Linked DNA regions of Xenopus tropicalis. The protein of the gene in region 2 interacts with the protein of the main gene of each other region in a biochemical or structural test. Links are inferred from orthologs where the notes say so. Each region holds a gene or a part of one and is shown on either strand. Other genes may lie near its edges.

Evidence for each region. The genes of interacting proteins can lie anywhere in the genome.
Region 1: the proteins of drap1 (region 2) and dr1 form a complex in vitro, tested with the Homo sapiens proteins (2 studies listed by BioGRID). The link is inferred for Xenopus tropicalis from reciprocal best matches to the Homo sapiens genes DRAP1 and DR1.

The regions. Positions count from the first base shown.
Region 1 is NC_030680.2:104,109,345-104,112,793, forward strand, and holds the end of dr1 (protein Dr1), read right to left. Parts: intron 2,716-3,449; coding exon 2,552-2,715; intron 1,903-2,551; coding exon 1,759-1,902; 3' UTR 657-1,758; downstream 1-656. UniProt on the Homo sapiens protein: The association of the DR1/DRAP1 heterodimer with TBP results in a functional repression of both activated and basal transcription of class II genes.
Region 2 is NC_030680.2:38,501,410-38,505,166, reverse strand, and holds the start of drap1 (dr1-associated corepressor), read right to left. Parts: upstream 2,675-3,757; 5' UTR 2,610-2,674; coding exon of another isoform or gene 2,568-2,609; exon of another isoform or gene 2,196-2,567; coding exon of another isoform or gene 2,187-2,195; intron 1-2,186. UniProt on the Homo sapiens protein: The association of the DR1/DRAP1 heterodimer with TBP results in a functional repression of both activated and basal transcription of class II genes.

The DNA of each region.
Region 1 (3,449 bases), about 66 Mb from region 2:
TTATTTTGTACAGACATACACAGTGGCCTTTACTAGCAATATCTTTTATATAAAATATAAATGGACTAGTTAGCCTTTTTAAACCTTTAGACCTATAGCACATGGAGCAGAGTTCAGGCAATTTGCAGAAAAAAAAGCCTCCTGCCATGGCTATTTTGCTCAGTTGTGCTTTCATTTGATTTCAGGTGTTAATATTCTAAATACCAGGTGGTTATTTTTGGCATTTTCATGCAACAGCAAACAAAACGCCCAAAATCTCCAACATGTGCCACAGATGTGAACTTCTGACTCAATAAATACTGAAATTCTATTTCTGATAAACTTTGGTAACAACACTTATTCATGAACATGCTCCAGTTGTAAGGTCTCTTACAGCACTAATAAAACAATGCAGTGTCTTATTCAGTACTATCGGTGCAGTACACACTAATATATACATATATATGTAGAACACAGAGTACTCGTGGGACTTAAATTACATGCAAACATTTAATGGTGCAACTCAATGTTTCGGTCCTACACAGAGGACCTTTATCAAGATATCACAAAAGGTCCTCTGTGTAGGACCAAAACACCATTAAATGTTTGCACATAATTGAAGTCTCTGTGTTCTACATGCTGATATTTTTTGCAGCAGCACCTGGGCTTTTCTTGCGTTTTTTTGGGCGAGTGCGCTGCCTTTCATACTAATATATATATATGTGTGTGTGTGCGCGCATCTTGTTACATTGTGACACTGAGCAAACACAAGTCCCTATTTACTTACAGTCACTAAATTCAAGGTGCAGGATAAATGCTAACTAGGACCATACAGCAATGAACTAATCAAATCAAATACAATTAAAAATACAAATATACAACAATTTATAGATGTGACGTGCCAGAGTAAATTTAAAAAAAAAAAAAATCCCTAACATGTTGTTTTGGGGTAAAAAAGAATGAATTTACTTACAACCACAAATATAATTAATACCATCCTTCACATATTTACTTTGCACCAGATGCAGTTTTTAGTTGTGGTTCCCCTTTTAGAAAGAGCTTGGATTTCACATGTCCTTTTTATTAACTCTTAAAGGGTCTTAAAAAAAAAAAAAAAAAGAAAAAGCGCAATTACCATGACAATTTCTAAAAAAAGATCCCTCCCCAGTCAACATGTTTGGGCCAATGTTTCTTCTACTGACACAGTTTTAAATTCCTTGGTTTGCAAAGCCCATAGCAAAGCATCCAATGTTTTTGCCCTGTACAAAGTTTTCACATCCTCCCCTAAAATTCAGTATTACAGACACACTTTCCTGACAGTGATCTTTGACTTCATCATGTGCCTGCCAGACAAGCCAACATCCCTTACCCAACCCACAAAATTAAAAAAAAAACCCCTAAGAATTTTTTTAAGCTTAGTTAAAAGGGAAATGCAAATGTATTTTAGAGTTTCTGTATAAATCTCGCTATATTTAATAAAGATGTATTCTGGTTTAACACTGCTTATTGTTCAAGTTAATGACTGATTGCTAATATAAAATTCTCATAAAGGCTGTTAAAAATTCTCTATTGATATGATACTGAACCTTATTATTAACAGTTCAAAAAGGATATTTGTACATTTATGCTGCATACAAGAGCGGAGACTTAACAGACATCCCTAGAATATCAATAACCAGTCCACCAAGATGCATAAAAAATTTACAATTAAGCATTTTCCACTTCTCTTTGTGCAGGCGAAAAATATTCAAAGGTTGATATTAACATAGCTGGAAATACTCAAATATCATCCTCTTCCTCGTCCTGAGAGGAACCGGCTTGGTTTGAAGCGCTGGCAGTTGCAGCTGCAAGTTGTGCTTGTTGAGCAGCTTGCTGCATTTGTAGCCACTCCTGCTGAGCCAATTCTGCTTGCTGCTGTCTTGCCTAGAACCAAAGCAGAGTTTTAGAGAACAAGCAGTAATTCAAAAACAGACCTGCTTCTTAGAAAAGGAAAGTAGAAATTCTCCCAAGTTCTTCTTCCAATAAAGAAAATAAAGTCACTGAGTAATGTCATAAAAGTCACAAAGTTTATATTAGGAATCGTAGGCCATAAAAATATATTGGATGTTTGCTTTCAACCAGGTGACCTGCCTTTATGTGCTACTAGACCTGATGCATTATGCACCTTTTATAATATCACCAATACCAAAGCCTGATAACTAGATAAATTGTCTCTAAGTTGCAAAAATGCAAAAAAGGGAGATTCTGCTTGGGTCATTGCTTTAAAAATAGTATGTTATAGAATAGGCATGTTCTAGGTCTAGTCTAGACCTAGAAAAGGGTAGGGTATTTTATAGAACATATTGAAGACAAAAAGCAATTTATGCATGTACGATTAACAAGACAGGTTTGATTAACAATTCTTTTGGTTGTTTCAAGCAATAATGTAATTTCATGGAAAGGTATTGCTGGGTCTTTTGTTGCCCAACCACAAGTGTGACTTCACATGGGCAACAAATGAGACTCATACCATTGATCTAAAAGGTTATCTGTCAAATGGAGACCAGTCCTATAAGTAACACCAATCACTTACTTTTGCAAATAGTTCTTGTTGCTGCCTTAGAAGCTCTTCTTCAGGAATGCCAAGATTTTCAAGACGAGAACTTGCTTTTCGTCGTTTTAATGCTACAGTTTTGCATTCTTGCAGGACATCTTTTACCTCGCTGATGTAGGAACCAAAACCCAAACTTTCCAGTGCTAGAAACAAAGACATAAAACACTACACAGTTATTAAATAACAAAATGGCTCTAGAATGGCACACATATCACATAAAGGTCAAAAACATGCAGGCAGGTTAAAGGAACAGTAACACCAAAAAATGAAAGTGTATAAAAGTAACTAAAATATAATGTGCTGCTGCCCTGCACTGGTAAAAGTTGTGTGTTTACTTCAGAAAGTCTACTATAATTTATATAAATAAGCTGCTATGTAGCCCCGGGGGCAGCCATTCAAAGGAGAAAAGGCACAGGCACATAGCAGATAACAGATAAAACACTATTGTATTCTACAGAATTTATCTGTTATCTGCTATGTAACCTGTGCCTTTTCTCCTTTTTTCCAGCTTGAATGGCTGCCCCCGTGGCTACACAGCAGCTTATTATATAAATTATAGTAGTGTTACTGTAGCAAACACACCAGTTTTACCAGTGCAGGGCAACAGTGCATTATATTTTTATTACTTTAAAGCTCTTTCATTTTTTGGTGTTACTGCTCCTTTAATGACCTCATGCTAAAACTGATTATAGTGTGTTAATGTGATAGGTACCCTAAACTGTAAGCTCTACTGGGGCAACGACTGATGTGAATAAAGCTTAATCTCTGTAAAGCCCTGTGGAATATGCACACTATCAATTACTGTGCCATCTCCAGAATATCATGTCCTGGGGATGGCATTTCAGAGATTTGAAAACAGTGTCAGCATACCTTTATG
Region 2 (3,757 bases):
CATCTTACCATGTTTTGCCCATACATAACTATTCTTTATAATTCTTTACAGCTATTCTTATAAGGCACAAGCAAATGTTTTTTCTCTATGTCTTTTCACAAATAAAACGTCCCATGGGGCAGGGACTGATGCGAAAGACATTTAATCTCTTTATAGTGCCTACACAAATACACAGCGCTTTATAAATATGACATAATTACATCAGAATTATAAAAAGCACATCTTCAAAAAAAAATTGAGTCTACTAATATCCCAAGAGCCTCAGACAGCTAGGACCAAATGGAACATACCAAAACTCTGCCTCAACATTTCAATGCCCTTAGGACGTTAAAGGAGATTATTCTGATCCAAGTTAGTAAACTCTAATGGTCGCAGGAAAGATTGTTATTGTAATATGTCTGCCTGCTTTAGAATAAATTGGAATGAAATCTGACAGATGTTTTGTTGTGTGCTTGCGAGGGGACATGATTACTCTGTACAAGTTTGGGGAGGTTGGGGAATGCCCTTCCGAGTGATGGCAGATTCTGTTAATGCCTTTAAGAGGGGCCTGGATAGGTTTTTGAACAAGCAGACTATCAAAGGTTATTGTGATACTAATATCTACAGTTAGAATTGATGTTGGTATATATAGTTTATGTATGTGAGTGTATAGATAGGTCAGTATATGTTTGTGTGTTGCTGTTACTTGGATGGGTTGAGCTTGATGGACTCTTTTTTCAACCCTATGTAACTATATGAACATGTATCTATACTGAGATAATCGTAGATCTTAAAATCACTATAGACATGGATATTGTGCTTGTCCAAGAAATTACCCAAGCCCCTCTTAAAAGCATTGACAGAATCTGCCAGCAGGGCATTCCACAACCTCACTGCCCTTACCATAAAAAAAATCACCTAAGCTGCTTCAAAGTTCAGTTGCTCAAGTCTAAAGGGGACTTCTTATTCTTTCATCTTTTCTGTGGGAAAAAACAATTCCCTGCTATCTGTTCACAATGTCCTCTAATGTATTTAAAAAAGGGAAATTGTGCCCCTTCGAAGGGGAAGTAAATATAGAAGGCAGAGAAACAGTCTATGCTTACTGAAGTAGACATGAGAACCAACAGAGGTGGGAGCAGAAAAATCACAAACACTAGGTTTTTATTAAATAAATAAATATAACTTTGAACATTTTCTAAATAGTTAGAAGTAAGTTATTTCTAAATAAAAGAAGAACTGCAATGGTTATGTTAAGCTCACTAAAACGCAGGGGTTACCACTGCTCTAGGAAGCTTCAGCAATAAGATATAGCAGATAAAATGTCCGATAGTGAGCCCTGGCAAATTTACCCTTTAGTACTATTAAAAAAAAATCCCATCATACTAAGCAATTTAGGCAAAGGATGACAATGAATGGTTAGAGAAGAAAGTATTGGTTAAGGCAGGGATCCCCAACCTTTCTTACTCATGAGCCACAGTCAAATGTAAAAAGACTTGGAGAGCAACACAAGCACCATAAAAGTTCATGGAGGAGCCAAATAAGGGCTTTGATTGGCTATTAGGGGCCTCTATGCAACCTATCAGCTTACAGTGGGCTTTATTTGGTAGTAAACCTTGTTTTTATTCAACCAAAACTTGCCCCCAAGTCAGGAATTCAAAAATAACTCCCTGGTTTGGGGGCACTGAGAGCAACTAATGTTAAGGTAATGAGGAAGGCCTACTTGTGCACTGGATGAATAGGATAGCAAGGTGTATGCGTGTCAAACATAAGAACAGTGGTCTTCCAATTGACCAGCCCCCCCCCCCCCCCTTTTAAGGCCCACCACCATTTTACCAGGACACCCCCAATAGGGCCAACTAATTGACCCCCCCCCCCTTTAGCCCCATCATTTGACCAGGGCCCCCCTTCCCCTTTAATTTCCACCATTTGACCTTACCTCCCCCCCCCCAATAAGGCCCAACACTTAACCAGGACCCCCTCATCTAAGGCCCACCACTTGGCCAGGATCCACCCCCACCTTAATTAAAGCCAAAAACTGCCCAGGTCCCTTATCTTCTCACCTTTAAGACCCACCATTTGGCTTGGACCCCCTTAGCCCATAACAAGATCACAGACTCTGTGTATTATCCATTCAGTCACAGCCATAAGAACAGTGTTCACCCCAAAACTTGCTTTAAATGACCTTCATGAAGGGAATTAAATAGTACCTTGGGCATTCTACCCAGCTATGTCCCCGGGTGGCTGCGGGTTGGCCCTGCCAAGGCACCGAACATCCTGGTCGAGGGGCAGATACTCCGTTAAGGAACCAGTGTATTGAACGTAAACAATATATGTTTATAGACTGTACAAAAGGCACTAGTGAGCAATAACAAGCTGCAGCGTGTGCGGATACAGTGTTATTGTTACAATGAGGCTGAATACTCTGCACAACGCTCCTACTGCCCATAACCATAGCGCTGGGCAGAGCAAAAAAGATGCCAAAATCCGGCGCAACGCAAAGGATCCAGAACCAGAGGGGGGTCCTTGCGGGAGATTTTCGGGGAGCCTGTACCAGGAAAGAGCGGTGCGAGAGGAGACCGCCGACTCACCGGGGGAAAACGAGCGTTGTATTTCTTTTTCTTGCTCGGCATCTTCAGCGAGGGAAAGGGCGGGGGAGCAGAACTCAGCTGAGGCCTCCAGAGAAGCGGCAATAGCCACAAGCAGCAGCGCCGGGAGACTGGCAGTGTTCGCGCCCAGCGATGTTCATTAAAGTTGAGCGAATTGAGGAGGAAACACACCCTGCCCCGCTGTGCTCACTGCGCTGCTTCGCGAACAATAAAGTTTATTGACGAGCGCTGCCACTTCAGTGTTGCTTTTGTAGCGAGCAGTTCATTGAGTTGTGTATAAACTAAAGTTGTGTCAGCTTGGCCGCATTGCAAAATGCTTCTGTAGCGGCACACTTTCCCGCTGTAACAAAACCCATGCGATTTTTGTTTTTCTCTGAACTCGGAAATATTGCTGTATTGTTTGGTTTGGATGATGCACATGCCACAATATAAGTAAAGTGCATGGACGGCCGACCCTGAGGTGCTGGGTTGAAGCCAGCCGCGCACTAATGTACAGTATACTGTATTTTTTCTTCAGTGTTAGTGGCTTCCTCTAGTTAATAAAGTTTTTTGAAAAAAATGGAAGCAACAAAACCCTCCCTGTCTAGCAACCCAACATGTCACTGTTTCCGCGGCAACGCGGCCTGGTACAGGAAGTGGGACGCTGCAGCGACGCGACTTCGAATCGCTTAATCTTGTAAGGAATGAGTACATTTCCAGTGATTGGAATAGGCTAGGTTACCTGTTTTCCTGGTCATCGCCTTCTTTTCCTCTAGGTGTACTCTGTAGCTTTCTAGGAGTTCTTGAAAATGGTTTCATATTTTCATGTATATACACACAGAGAATACATACTTTGATCATTTATGTAGTAGGTACATTTTAATATTTACATTTATTTTAATCATTCTGTGGATCTCCACGAACACATATGTATGAATGTGTCTGGATTTGAAGAGAATGAGAGAAAGAAATAATATATATATATATATATATATATATATATTACAAGCTATTCTTTCTCTCATTCTCTTCAAATCCAGACACATTCATACATATGTGTTCGTGGAGATCCACAGAATAACTAAAATAAATGTAAATATTAAAATGTACCTACTACATAAATGATCAAAGTATGTATTCTCTGTGTGTATATACATGAATAAATATATATATATATATATATATATATAAAA